Linked DNA regions of Caenorhabditis elegans. The protein of the gene in region 1 purifies or fractionates together with the protein of each later gene. This does not show direct contact. Each region holds a gene or a part of one and is shown in the gene's direction. Other genes may lie near its edges.

Region 1 (5,666 bases):
GGTGGAATTTCGGAGAAAATTGTGTGAAAAAATGTACATTTTGAGCTGAAAAAGGTGTTTTTTTTGTTGAGAAAATTTCAGAAAAATCGAAAAAAATTAAAAATTGAAAGCGAAAATGTTTCGAATTTTCTCCTGAATTTTTTCGAAACTAAAAACAGATAAAAACCCGGAAAACTCTGAAATTTTTTAATTTTCACGATGTTTCCGAGTTTTTCATCAAAAAATCGAAATAAAACCAGAAAAAACAAGAAAATTTCTAATTTTCAGCGTTTTTCCGTAAATTTTCCGAAAAAAAAAACCGGAAAACACAAAAATTTTAGATTTTTCGGTGTGTTTTCCGAAAAAAAAAACAGAATTGCTCATCAATTTTTCCGTTGTTTTTTCCCTACAAAATTCGGGGAAAAAAAACGAAAATTTTGAAAATTTCAGTTTTTTACGAAAAAAAAAATCCGGAAAAAAATACGGATTTTTTTTGTTTGTTTTGCTGTAAAAAAATAGAATAAAAGACTCAGAAACCCCGGAAATTTCAGATTTTCCGGTGTTTTTCAATTTTTCAATTTTTACGAAAAAAAAAATTGAAAAAAAAAACACGAAAATTTCAGATTTATTAAAAAATGTTTTTATTAAAATTAAATTTTATTTTAATTTAATAAAAACCCACACATTTCTGACAAAACTTGAATTTTAAAATTTCTCAAAAAATTACTGGGTTTTTCCCAAAAATTTCCTAATTTTTAGCTTGTCCGTGGAGTACAATTGGTGAACGGACGTCTTGATTTGGTTGCCATGCAGCTTAACACACTGAAACCAACATCAGAAGCTGGAAATAATGACGAAAAGAATATTGTGTGGATCGAGAAGGGTTGGTTTTTACAAAAAAAAACAAAAAGGGAAAAAATCCCATAAAATCCAATTTTTTGTTATTACACATCCGTGGAAATTTTCTCCCAAAAAATTCCACGAATGTGTAATAACTAAAATTTTTTTCAATTTTTAAAGTTTAAATTTAAAATTGAAAAAAAAAGCTCTGAATTTCTTCATATTTTTCTCCGGATCAGAAAAATGACCAAAAAATGTTCCAAAAAATTCAATTTTTACCCTGAATTTCCTCTAAAAAACCCCGATATTTTCCCCTAAAATTCCCCTAAAAAATTAATTTTTCTCCCCAAAATTCCCTCTAAAAACCCCAATTTTTACCCTAAAATTCCCCCAAAAAATCCAATTTTTTCCTTAAAAATCCCTCTAAAAATCCAGTTTTTCCCTTAAAATATTCCTTTTAAAAAACCCAATTTTTTACCTTAAAATTCCCCCAAAAAACCCTAATTTTTACCCTAAAATTCCCCTAAAAAACCCATTTTTTTCCCCAAAATTCCCTCTAAAAACCCCAATTTTTACCCTAAAATTCCCATAAAAAATCCAATTTTTCGCTCAATTTCCCCTGAAAATACCCATTTTTCACATAAAATTCCCTCAAAATTCCCCCCTGTAAACCCCCAAATTTTTACCTTAAAATTCCCCTAAAAATCTCCAAAAAACTCAATTTTTACCCTAAAATTCCCCTAAAAAACACCAATTTTTCCCCTAAAATTCCCTATAAAAAATACAATTTTTACTTTAAAATTCCCCTGAAAATACCCATTTTTCACATAAAATTCCCCCAAAAAACACCAATTTTTTACCTAAAATTCCCTATAAAAAACCCAATTTTTACCCTGAATTTCCTCTAAAAAACCCCGATATTTTCCCCTAAAATTCCCCTAAAAATCCATTTTTCTCCCCAAAATTCCCTCTAAAAACCCCAATTTTTACCCTAAAATTCCCCTAAAAACCCCAATTTTTTCCCAAAAACACCAATTTTCTCTTGCAGGTCTCCGTCTCTACAAGCCAACGCCCTACTATGAGCAAATGGACACTGTGGAGAAGCTCGATATGACCGTTTTTCACAAATTTGTCGCCTTGATGCTCGGATTTGGAGCACCACATGCTCATTGACACGGGCTCTAAATCCTTTTTTTTTCAAAGAAATTTTGATTTTTTTTTCAATTTTTTAATAGGTAGCTACTGTTTTTCATTGTTTTTTTGGTTGTTTTTTTCTCGGATTTTTTTTTGAAATTGTATTGATTTTTTAATGATTTTTTGTGATTTTTTCCTCGAAATTATTGGTTTTTAGCCAATTTTCTACCTAATTTTCCAGTTTTTCCCAGCTTTTCCCCCCGAAAAATGCCCAAAATTTTCAGCCTAAATGTGCGATATCAGCACGGAAGATCAATTGCTAGAATTTGCACGAAAAGGTTTTTTTTTGGATTTTTAAGCTTTTGGCCCCCGTTGAATTTCCGTATTTTCAGCCGCCGAATCAGGAGATCAGACACAGACTTTTGAATTTAAGAAGCACATTGGTTTTTTGATTCGACACTTGAACGTATTCCCACAGCCGTATAATACGTTGGAGACTAGTCGGTGAGGAGATTAGAAAAAAATTGAAGAAAATTGATAAAATTCCAGTTAAAATTCCAGAAATTTGAAAAAATTGCGAAATTTTTATGGAAAAATTCAAAAATTAGAAAATATTGATTTTTCATTTTTTTTTTAAATTAAAAATCCAATTTTAAGCTATTTTTTGGCTGAAAATTTGTGAAATTGTTTTTAAAAAATTCAATTTTATTGAGAAAAAAACCGTATAAAGTCAATTTTTACATATAAAAATCGATTGGAATATGGAAAATTAAAAAAAAACGTGTAATAACAAAAAAACTATTTCGGAAAATTCACAAAATCTATAAAAAATTTGCGAAATTTTGATGGAAAAATTCAAAAATTAGAAAATATTGATTTTTCAGTTTTTTTAAAATTAAAAATCCAATTTTTTTCGATTTTTTCTTGTTAAAAAGTTTAAGAAAACAGCTTTTAAAAAATCGATTGGAATATAGAAAATTTAGAAAAAAAGCTATTTCGGAAAATTCACAAAATCTATAAAAAAGTTCAAAAAATCAGAAAATATTGATTTTTGAACTTTTGAATTTTTTAAGACTAAAAATCCAATTTTTACGCGCTATAGAATTGTTGAAACCTACTAAAAAATTAACCTAAAATTCGAAAAATACTTCTAAAAATTGGATTCTCCGGATTTTTCACAAAATTAATTTAAAATTACAATTTTTTCAAAGCTAAAAACTGGCAATTTTTCGCCCAATTTTTAAAAAGTTTGAATTAAAATTTAAAAAAAAATTCCCCGCAGATGGAAAAATTCAAAAAATTAGAAAATATTAATTTTTTAATTCTTTTTTAAGTTAAAATTTCAATTTTTAAGATATATTTTGGCTGGAAATTTGTGAAATTGTGGCAAAAAATTCAATTTTCTTGAGAAAAAAAACCGATTGAAATTTAAACACACATTAGAAAAAAAAATGATTTCTGAAATTTCGGAAATTCAAAACATTTGGAATTATTGATTTTTCAGTTCTTTATAGTTAAAAGTCGAATTTTTAAGCAAAAAATTGTAAAAACCTTCAAATTTTTGGCTAATTTTTCAACTTTTAATATCAAAAAATATTAATCTCGTTAACGAAAAATCATTTTTTACGTATAAAAAACTGTTTGGAATTTGAAAAATTGCGGAAAAATAATTATTTCTGAAATTTGAATTTTTTTTGTTGAAAAAATTGTCTGCTATTGTTAAAAAATTAGAAAATCTACTAATTTTTCAATTTTTTAGAGTTGAAAATTAAATTTTTCAAAAAATTTCAAAAATTGGGAAAATTTGCTAATAAAATAGTAAAATTAGCGCTCTGAAAATTCCAAAAAAAAAAAATTAATTTAAAATTACAATTTTCGTAGAAATTCAAAGTTTATTCCAAAAAAAAAACACAATAGTTCAGAATTGTACGTTTTTTTTTTAATTTTGACTGAATAAAATCCTAAAAAAAATTATTTTCTCCAACTTTTCTAATCTAAAATTATCAAATTTTCAGGAAATCACTATTTTAATTGAAAAATTCCATTTTTTTTTCTAAAATTATCTTTAAAAAATTGGAAAAAAAAATTTTTCACCAATTTCCTCTGATTTTAATTTAAAAAATTTCAAAAAATTCTATGAAAATGACCCTAAACTACTCTGAAAAATTCGAAAATGTTTTTTTTTTTTTCATATTTTTCACAAAATTAATTTAAAATTACAAATTTCAAGCTAAAAATGCTCGATTGACTCCCAGTTTTCTCAAAAAAGTTTCACAAAAACTCCGATATTTTCCCCTAAAATTCCCCCAAAAAACACCAATTTTTCCCCTAAATTAAAAAAAATTGCGAAATTTTGATGGAAAAATTCAAAAATTAGAAAATATTGATTTTTCAGTTTTTTTAAATTAAACATCCAATTTTAAGCTATATATATTTTTTAAATTCAATTTTATTGAGAAAAAAACCGTATAAAGTCAATTTTTACATATAAAAATCGATTGGAATATGGAAAATTTAGAAAAAAAAAATTTAATTAGGAAAATTTGAAAAAAAATGCGAAATTTTGATGGAAAAATGGAAAAAAATTAGAAAATATTGATTTTCCAATTTTTTAAAATTAAAAATCCAATTTTTTTCGATTTTTTCTTGTTAAAAAGTTTAAAGAGAACAGCTTTTAAAAAATTAAAATTCAAAAAATTGAGAAAAAGTTTTTTTTTTTCAAATAAAATTGTGAAATTAGTTCTAAAAATTTAGAAAAATGTCGAAAGATACCTCTAAAAATTCAATTCTCTGGGATTTAAAAAAAAAAAATTGGAAATTCCCATCTTTTTTTTTAACTCCCAGAAAAAACTAGAAAATTGTCAAAATTTTGAAAATAACCGTTCAAAATTGGCAGAAAATGGCTTGAAAAATTGCAAAAACCTTATTACACATTCGTGGAAATTTTTCCACGAATGTGTAATAACACAATTCTGATGGTTTTTTTTTGTTGAAAAATTGCTTAAAAATTATTACACATTCGTGGAAATTTTTATTAGGGAGAATTTTTTCACGAATGTGTAATAACACAGTTCTGAAGGCTTTTTCTCCAGAAATAGTTTGAAAAATCGAAAAAAAAAACAATTTTCAAAAAATGCGATTTTTTTTTCTTCAATTTTTCAAACTATTTTAAAAAATTAGTTGAAAAAACTAGAAAAGTTGAAATTTTGAGATTTTTGAGCTAAAAATGCTCAATTTTCTCCCAAAATGTCTCAAAATTAAACTGAAATTCCCGGATTTTTCACAAAATTAATTTAAAATTACAATTTTCAAGCTAAAAATGGGCAATTTTCTTCCGAGAAAATTCTAGAAAAATGCCAAAAAACAGCTTTAAACAATTGAAATTTTGAGATTTTTCAAGCTAAAAATGCTCAATTTTCTCCCAAAATTTCTCAAAAATTTCACAAAAAAAATTCAAATTTTTTCCAGAAACACAATCTTCCTATTCGCAATCTCTTCACTGGATTTGCTCGGCGAGCTCGACAATCTCCTGACTCCGGAACGCCGTCAGGCGTATATCGATTGGATTTACGGACTTCAGTTTACAAACGGTACCCCACCCACGCAAAATTTCTAGGAGTTGAACGCATTTTTCTTGTTAAAAATCTTTTTTTCCCCTTTTTCCCGATTTTTTTCCCATTTTTTTTTCACAAATTTCCATAATTTCCCGTTCA
Region 2 (5,018 bases), on another chromosome or scaffold:
GAAAATTATTTTCAAGTGTATTAAGCACACATTTCCTAATAGCTTACTCCTGGACAAGGGTTTCTAGAATTACAAATGACTCTAGAACCGTTACTACTCAAAAGCCCAATTGATTGTTTTGGGCATTCGAGTTCCTCTTCAGGTAGCGGAGTTGTGGCTTTAACACGGTACCCTCTGGGGCTTTTCGTTGTTGTTGGTGGTGGTGCATGCTTTCTTTGGAAAGACGGGTCTTCGCAACAGATATATCCAAGTCCAACATCGGCACAGTGCATGTTCTCCTATAACACAGTCAATTTGTGGGGGGGGGGGGAGGGGGGACTGATAAATAGGTCGATGTGGGGTAAATTTGCGACCCAGGAAAACTTTCAGGAAAACTTCCAAAATTGAGAAAAAAATATTTTTGTTGTAAAACGTGTCTAAAAAGTAAATCTCACCATTTTTGTATGGAAAATAGTGTTTTTCTTTAATTTTTTTTGCAGAAAATATGGTAATTTTTTTTTTAATTTTCAGCTTTTAGACGATTTTTCATAGAAAAAACAATTTAAATAAACAAATTTCGTAGTGAAACTTCTCAGAAAAATGTCAAAACTTTTTTATGCCGGCACAAAATTTATTTACATAAATTACCTAATTCCCTCTACAATCTCAAAGTTCAGCCACTTTTTCGTGTGCCAGCGGCTCCAAGTCAATTTTACTGATTTATTTATAATTGTTATTTGTTATCACATTTAAACCTGATAAATGACCAAAACTGACTAACCTGAAACCTTTCTTCGAAACTTTGAACCGCCATAAAAACATTTTTTTTAGTTTAAAATATTTTGAAAACTTTCATTACGAAGTTCGCTCATTTAAAGACGTTTTAAGTCCATAATTTAATTATACCCAGTATTAAAACATTCGAAAAGTTATCACGAACCAAGGAAATCAAGTATTCCGCTGTTCACGGCTTTTTAATATTCATATAGTTTGTCTCACTATTTTAGAAACTTGTATGTATAAGAGATCAAAAATTGGATAAACTAATTGAAACACATTTAATAATGATGTGTCTTGTTTCTAACTTACCCCCGGGCAACTTCTGGCTATCTGACTACATTTCATTGGCAAACCATGTGGATCCAAAACTGTTAGCTTTGGGTATGGACAACTCGGTTGATTATCTATGGATGGCTCATTTGACGGGCAGCACATATAATTCAATCCGGTAAAGAAACAGTTATGATTAGCACCACAAATTAAGTGTTGTGAAGTGCCTGAAAACAAGTATGTTATATTGGATGTGAACTGAAAATAACAACTACCTGGCAAACATTGTAGAGGTCTTAACGATGAATCTAACTTTGGTAGTTGGCCATTTGGGCAGGTTGGAGCTTGTGCTAAAAACAAACTCTAAGCTAATTAAATGGTGTTCAAACATCACAAACTGCTAACCTGATGCAAAATAGACTAACAAAATTAGAAAGTAACAAGAAACGAAAGTCGTTGTAGGAATCATGAAAAATGTTGTAGATGGGTTTGAGTGATAATATGGGGTAGTTGAAGGGAGCGGTACTCTGTCGGGAAAATGAAGAGGGAAAATGGATAGAAATAAGAAGGATGGGTTAAGGACGTGTAGTCGATTAACCTCTTTTACGGATGCATCTCCTTTTTCGGGAGGAATCACAAGAGAAGATAAGTAGAAATTATCACATATCTGCATCTCTCATTCTCTTCACTTTTCCGCCTATCGTTATCGTATCATAATCGAAAGTTTTTTTGAAGATGTTTCCAATCTGAAGAATGTTCCATTCACTAATTCGGCAAAATGTCTCGGATTGAAAAATGGAAGCTATGAAAAACGATGCAGTGATCATATGGTGGACCGAAAATATTCTGATCTGACACTTAAAAGGATCCAATGTGAAATTTCCAGAGTATACACGTTTGATCTACAACAACCGCAACTTCCGCATGACGTCATTTTTCAAATTTGAATTCCTCGCAATTTTAGTAGGGCGAAATAAATCAGAATCCAAGTGAGAGTATGAGTCATATTTCTCATACCCTAACCATAATTTCCGGACGCAACAAACTATATACCTTGTTAGCTTTCTATGTTTCTCTAATTTCGTGAGTCACCTGAGGTCGCATGCATGGCAGGTACACACATTGCGTCGGGGGCGACAGAACCGCATATCGATCTATTGTTGTTTGCTCAAGCGGTGTGGACAACTATACTGATGTATGCTTCTCAATGCTGATTCTTACTTTGTGCGTGCTTTTAACAGTGCAAGTTTGTCCGGAAGAAAATTGGTTGCCCAACAGGAAAGAAGAACCGCGTCCTGTCAGTTATTTTTCACAGCGAACCAGGTAAAATACTAACATTTTTTGGATTGATAGAGGTGAAAAACTGATCTCTATAGATGTTTAAAATAACATTCTTAGAGCTTGGAAAATCTATTTGAGTTACTAATAAAATATTTTTATCATTTCAAGTTATCTTTTTTGATTCCATTTTAAAAAAACACTTTACAACTTTCAGGAGCTTGAATGCAGGTTACGCCACTGATGGCGATCCTGCAATAAACGATGAAGTCTACCGAATCTTCATGCTCACCATTCTCGACGGCTTCAACATCTTCAAAATCAAAATGTACAATGACCGTTCGTTCATCTATTTGACTCGCCGAAATTATTGGTTAGGCGATCGTTATTATTATATGGTTTGTTATTGTCCTTGAAACTCTCATCGATATACTAAAATTACAGGACAATTATTATTACCTTGCCACGCGGGATACGTGCGCATACCGTATGAATGAGACCGAACGACAACATCTTTTCTACGAAGAGGACAACATGCCGATATTCGATATCATTTATCAGTATGTTTTCATTGCGTATTCAGAGAGAAAAGGAATTTTCGACATAATATTATCCTAACGATGATAAGAAAAGACGTTTGCCAAGTTTTTAGTGGCATCTCGTTGTTCAACTCAATCACAAGCAATCACAAAAAGTGCTGGAAAGTTTAACACTTTTCCAATATAATCAGGGTTACCCAAATACTCAATCTCATAAACAATTTGACACTTATAAGAAAAAAACAGTTATCATAAATCCCTGTGGTGTGTTCGAGACCCTTCAAATATTTTTTTGATCGATGACATCCATAAAAGTAGCACAAACTGTGATTGTTCCAATTATCAAAAATCGTATAAAATTTAGAAAATTTTTTTGAATTTTTTTTACTACGCTATTTGGCCAATGTGGTGCCCTAGGCCTGTTTTAAAGCAATTTCCACACTATAATGTAAAACATGCAAAACATGTGTAATTAACATTTTAAAATATTACAACCTTCACGAATAAAATTATTATTAATTAATAATAATTTGGATCGCTGAAGCTAACGTGAATTCAAAAAAAAATTGCACATCAGTTTAAAGGCACACGTTGTTTTTATCAGTGGGTCTCGCCACGATCTTTACGATTTTGAATGTATAGACCTGAAATGTGCTCAAGTAAACAAATTTCGTAATGAAACAATTCAAAGTTTGTTTTTAAAAAATTTCAATGGCAGTGCAAAATTTCAGAAAAAAAAATCGCTCAATTTTAGCGGACTTTTCCGCGTCGCAGCAGTCCGAAAATGACTAATTTGAATTATCATCAGTTTTTGCATATTTTGGTCGTTTATCTAACGCTATTTTGTTAATTGAGGTACATTTAAAGTCAATATGTGACTAATTTTTGTCAGTTTTGAATACCTACATATAGTTTCAAATGTACCGTAATTGAACCGCAATAAAAACAAATAATTTGGAAAATTTTTGCAAAGTTTCGTTACGAAGTTCGTTTTTGTAAGCTTTTGTTGGGTCTATACGTTCAAAAAAAAGAATTGCTGTTCAGTTTTAGAGTGTGGCATTGCTTTCAGTTAAAAATTTCGAAAAATTGTAGAAAATTTGAAACTTAGAAAACAATGTGTTCTGGAAGCTTGTGATTTTTCAATTATACAATTTCAGGTGCCAACGATATCAAGAGTACTGCTGTGGCCTGAATTGCTGCAAAATTGATCAAATCGGGCGTCATGACGAGCCACCGAAACCCCCAAAGTACCCTTGGCAAGATCCATGGCGTCATAACTCTGCATCATCATCATCATCTTCTCTCACTCTAATTGCCATACTCCTAATCTCAATTTTCAACTCTGCATAAATTTGTATGAAATTATGCCTGAATGACAGATAACCACCGGCACATAAATAAGAATGCTTCCTTGAAAATGCGGCAGCTTTCCATTCTTTCAAGAGGCAATCATCAAAACAATCGACGGAAAAGCTTGATGCATACTTTTGGTCTATTTTTCTGCACAATGTAGTATTATTTTTTTGAGCAGCGAAAAAAAAACACGACAAATCTTGCTGAATTTCTGAGCCTACACAAATTTTTCTAACCTTTCAAACTCTAATATGCAAAACGTGACTTTTTCGGTTGCGGAACCTCTGTTTTTCCCAGATTACAGATGTGACTTTTCCCGCCAAAGTTTATAGAATTTTCTAATGCCTAGAACACATGTCGAAATTCATTGGAAATGTCCTACGCTCAAAACGTGAATAATTACTTGGCCAACCTTCGTCTCGCACATCCACACTTCTGAATTCTCAGCAGCTCACATCAACTCACTAGTCAGCTCAAACAAAACAATTAGGACACTAGTGTATTTTTTGAGCATTTTTGTTTTTTTTTTCATTGTTTTTTGCTTTACAATTCTCAACACTTTTTTTGATCAAACTTCTCAAATATCAAACACCAGTCAAATCACAAATTCACATCTACCTAAGTATTCCATATCACTTGGTGATTTGAAAAAAAAAACATTTCTAGACTTTTCGGAACCAAGACGTGCCAAAGTGACACCCCAATCCAAGAAAATCTAATTTTGCTCGCAACAGTGCACAAAACAAGCCACGTTTTTGTGTGTGTTTTTCTCATTCTTTTGTTTTATATATTCCATTGGCTTTTCTTGTCAAAGGAAGT
Region 3 (4,558 bases), on another chromosome or scaffold:
GTCCCGTAGAATCCGCATCCATTGACACATAACTGCAAAAAGAAATTGATTTTTATTCAAAAATGAATATAAACGATGCTCCGATATTCCGCCTTTAAAAATTGGGTTACTGTAATTTCAAAAAATCTTGATTTTTTAAATTTTCATTTATTTTTTTTATTTTTTCAGGAAAAATTAATATTGGAAATTTTAAAAATAGGAAAAAACTCACTAAATCATTAGCTTTTAAATGCATTTTTGCTTTCTTGTCCTCCTCGCCATGCTTATCTGACATTACTTTGTGGGGTGTTTGAAACTGAAAAATTTTTAATTTTTTCATGAAGAAAAAAACAATTTTAAAAATGAGAATTAAGGGTCGAAGAAAATATAAAACTACAGTTCAAATTAAAGAAAAAATAATTTTAACACAATTATTTTTCGAAAAATCACACAAAAATTGAAAATTTCGAAAAAAACTGACTTTAGAGATTTTGCGAAAGCTTATTAATTATTTTTTAAAAAATCTGATGTTTCAGATTAAAAAAAAATTAAAATTAGTTGAAAAATTGGATTTTTTTGATTTTCCAATTTTTTTCAATTGTATTTATTTTAAAAGTAAATTAAAAAAAACATTTTTTCCTTAAAATTTATAAATTATCTGAAATTTCTGAAGCTGAATTTCTAATCTAAATTTGAATTGAAGGAAAATGATAATAATAAATTCTAGACTAATAAAACATTACATCTTCGGCAAAAAAAATAAATTAAAGAGGTTTTTGAGCCAATTTATTTTAAATTATCCAACTTTTCAGTCCAATTTTCAGTGAAAATTCAATTTTTAATCAAATCAAGTTTTTGGAAGTAAAAAAAAATAAATTTAAACATAAAATCTAGAATTTCTGTCAATTTTTAATTAAAAATCGACCAAAAACCAAGAAAAATGGACCCAGGAGGGTTCTATTGGTGCTAAAGTTGTCCCCGTCTGGCAGGGAAACTCAAGCCGAAGATGGAGGAGGGCTCTACGCGGTCACAAGTTCGCTTCTCTGCGTCTTCACACTCTCATCCTCGATTACTCAGTCTTCATGGAAGCTCCGCCTCCATCGTGCTTTGAAAGCTGGAAACAGCTGCTCGTTCTGAAAAGATCGAGAGGACATACTCGGAAATCCGATTTTTTCGGAAATTGGTTTTCAGAGCGTGCCACCAGCCATGAACTTTTGAATACATACACAATCTGGGGGAATTGTTAGAACGAATACAATGAAAATTTCCTGGAAAATGGGGATTTCCATGTGGATCAATCAAAATTTTGAAGAAAAAAAGCTAGTTTTCGAAGAAATTTTTTGTTTTTGTGTTTGCCCATCAAATTCAACTTATTTCGGAGTTTCCACCAAATTTTACAGGATTTTTCTTTCAAATTTGCAAAAAAAAGTTACATTTTTTAGCAAAAAACTATTTTTTGTTTAAATTGTTCTGCGCATTTTTTAAATCTTATTTTAGAGATTTTTTCTCGGATTACAAAATTGATTTATTACGGTAACACAAAATTCTGAGAATGCGTATTACACAGAACATCTGCCGCGCAAAATATCTCGAAGCGAAAACTACGGTAGTTCTTTAAATGACTACAGTAGCACTTGTGTCGATTTACGGGCTAGATTTTTGTAATGAATTTATTTATCGATAGAACATTTTTTTAAAAAGCAAAAAAATGAGACTATTATCCGAAGAAATATTCGAAAAGAAATTCATATCAAAAAATCGAAAAAAACTAATTTTTCGATATGAATTTGTTTTCAAATATTTCATCGGATAATAGTCTCATTTTTTTGCTTTTTAAATAAATGTTCTATCGATAAATAAATTCATTACAAAAATCGAGCCCGTAAATCGACACAAGTGCTACTGTAGTCATTTAAAGAACTACCGTAGTTTTCGCTTCGAGATATTTTGCGAGTCAGATGTTCTGTGTAATACGCATTCTCAGAATTTTTTAATACCCGTAAAAATTCCTAAAAATAATTACGTGGGGATTTATCGATTAAAAAAATTCAAAACTTTTGACGTGGTGTTTTTAAGTGAAAAACCGTAAAATTGAATTATTTCAATATTTTCAAAATGAGCAGCGAAGGATCGATTGTTCCTATCAAACTTGCACAACGATTTATTGTAAGAATTTTTTTTTAATTTATTGATTTTTCCGCAATTTTCCAACCAAAAAACTAGTATTTAATCGATTTTCTTTCAGCACGTTATCGATTTTCATGCGGATCCTGTGACTTGTATCAGTGCGTCTTCTGGAACCGTTTCCTACGATTCAGTGACGTCACCAAAATACCCTCAAAATGACGCAATTCTCGTAAGTTTTTTGGGGTTTTTATTAGGACAACGCGCTCTATTGATAACCTGGGAGTGAATCCTGAGTGGAAAATGATATTAATTTAAAGGCGCATGCACTTAGAATACAGTAGACAATTTTCAGTGTGGCCAACAACCGCCTCCCCCTCCTCACAAATCGACAATTAAAACCGTATTCAAGAAGGAGCTCATGGAAATCCCGATTCCAGTGGATATTGAGATGTTTCGTGCGATTCAAAAGTTAGTCAAAGATGGCCGCGGAAGAGAAAACTCGGCCACGGGGAATCAATTTTGAAAAGCGAAAAGCGTTAGGCTTCGTCGCAAGACTTCGAAAACGACAGTAACCCAATTATTTTACAATTCAATATTTCCCAGAGAACAAGATGCAAGAAAATACGCGTGCATCAAAAACTCGAAAAATGTGAATGGTTTTGCGGAAGCCGGAAAAGAAGTTGAATCGGCGTTCAAAGAATGCTTGAAGAATTTCAAGAAGCCTAAGAATGATCCAACGAGAAAAGCGGTGACCAGTGTCTCAATCGAGTTTCCGTCGGGGATCTCTGATCCTGTTCATAAGCCGAAGGATATTCATAAAGTTCATTTTAAAGTATGCCTACGGCCTATTGCCAGAGCATCTCGGAAAATTTCTCGGAACCCGGAAGATATAGGGCGCCGCAAAACACTATCTAACTCATCTATTTATTATTTTAACTTAATTAAAATAATAAACAGGCGAGCGTTACAAAGTGTTTTGAGGCGCCATATATCTTCAGAATCAGGGGAGGTCATTTTAATTTCAAGAAATTCAGAATTTTCAGTGTGGGAAAATGTATCGATAAAAATGATTTTAATATGGCTTATACATATTTTGGCGGTTCTTCGAATCCATTTTAGACGTTCGAAAAATATTGAATTTCAGAGGTTTTACACATCATTTTGTGGCCCGATTTTCTTGTTTTTAAAGTCAAGAAATTTCTTTAAATTTGGCTCACAAAATGATGTGTAAAACCTCTGAAATTCAATATTTTTCGAACGTCTAAAATGGATTCGAAGAACCGCCAAAATATGTATAAGCCATATTAAAATCATTTTTAACGATACATTTTTACACACTGAAAATTCTGAATTTCTTGAAATTTCATAGAATCAAAATTTTCAGAATTCCGATAATTTCAAGTCAAAATTGGTTCACAGGAACATAGGTAGATAGGCATGATATAGCCTACCTACCTATGTGCCTGCGAACTTTACCCAAGAATTTTCAGGCAATATCCGAACGCCTATCAACTCGTATTCTGGAGAAGTTGGGATACCCTATCGATGGTCACCAACAATGCCAAATCGCGTCCAAAATGTGCCTCAATTCACCATAAAATTTGTAACTCAAGAGGCTTTTGAATAAAAAAAATTTTTTTAATTTTTTTTCTTCAGTTTTTGAAATTTCTGGATTAATTTCTGGAGAAAATCGACAATTCAGGGGGAAAAATCTTTTTTTTTTTAATTTCCGAGTTATTTCTAATTTTCCTAACAGTTTTGACTCAATTTCACTGGAGATCTGCTTCAAAATTGCACAAAAGTGGAGAATAACTGGAATTTGAGTTTTTTCCAGCTTTTCAGGAAAAAAAAAATGGAAAACCAAGTTTTCCTTGATTTTTGAGATTTAGTCCATCAAAAAAGGAAAAAATTGCGAAATTTCCCGATTTTTCAGGCTTTTTTAAAAGGTTTTTCGGCAAAAACATCAAAAAATGGTTCACAATTTGAAAAAAATTCAGAAAAAAAAGTTTTATATATTTTAAGTCTACTTCTGACGCAGGAATTCAGAAATAGACAAGAAAATTGTCAATGACTCAAATAATCCTAGAATTTAGAAGAAAATCCTAGAATTTAGAAGAAAATCCCGATTTTTTCGTAGTTTTAGAGAAATTTTATAAAAATCCTGGTTTTAACGAAATATTTTTGGATTTTCTTGGTTTTTTTAATTATAAAATAGTAGCTTTAGATTTGAATCCGTCTCAAAATGAGACTTTTAAGCTTTTACTACTGAAATTTCACGAAAAAAAACCCCGTTTTTCTTAACTTTTCGCTATTATCTCAGTTTTTTATTCCTTGCAGATTTTCAGACTTAATCCCTCGAACTAATCCCTTCCTTTTAATTAAACTAAGAGGAAGGAAAAAAAAACGCCGCGGGAGGAGTTTTTATGTGTCACTGCTTCCTCTTCTTCAAGCT

What was found.
Region 2: the proteins of Y48E1B.3 (region 1) and K02E10.6 fractionate together in Caenorhabditis elegans (co-fractionation; one large-scale study listed by BioGRID). This does not show direct contact.
Region 3: the proteins of Y48E1B.3 (region 1) and Y39A1A.2 fractionate together in Caenorhabditis elegans (co-fractionation; one large-scale study listed by BioGRID). This does not show direct contact.

Annotation. Positions count from the first base shown.
Region 1 is NC_003280.10:13,564,543-13,570,208, reverse strand, and holds the start of Y48E1B.3 (Geranylgeranyl transferase type I subunit beta), read left to right. Parts: upstream 1-2,237; 5' UTR 2,238-2,242; coding exon of another isoform or gene 2,243-2,291; intron 2,292-2,345; coding exon of another isoform or gene 2,346-2,457; intron 2,458-5,421; coding exon of another isoform or gene 5,422-5,543; 5' UTR 5,544-5,666. Other genes in the region: mrpl-37 (Large ribosomal subunit protein mL37), read left to right, coding at 739-862, 1,868-1,992.
Region 2 is NC_003284.9:2,479,947-2,484,964, reverse strand, and holds K02E10.6 (CX domain-containing protein), read left to right. Parts: upstream 1-2,194; 5' UTR 2,195-2,236; coding exon 2,237-2,352; intron 2,353-2,524; coding exon 2,525-2,705; intron 2,706-2,751; coding exon 2,752-2,867; intron 2,868-4,003; coding exon 4,004-4,196; 3' UTR 4,197-4,210; downstream 4,211-5,018. Other genes in the region: K02E10.4 (uncharacterized protein), read right to left, coding at 48-278, 1,069-1,256, 1,302-1,379, 1,435-1,702.
Region 3 is NC_003281.10:10,601,086-10,605,643, reverse strand, and holds Y39A1A.2 (Reverse transcriptase domain-containing protein), read left to right. Parts: upstream 1-2,077; 5' UTR 2,078-2,094; coding exon 2,095-2,145; intron 2,146-2,220; exon of another isoform or gene 2,221-2,224; coding exon 2,225-2,335; intron 2,336-2,458; coding exon 2,459-2,574; intron 2,575-2,709; coding exon 2,710-2,938; intron 2,939-3,596; coding exon 3,597-3,704; coding exon of another isoform or gene 3,705-3,733; 3' UTR 3,734-3,750; downstream 3,751-4,558. Other genes in the region: rabx-5 (Rab5 GDP/GTP exchange factor), read right to left, coding at 1-32, 212-274.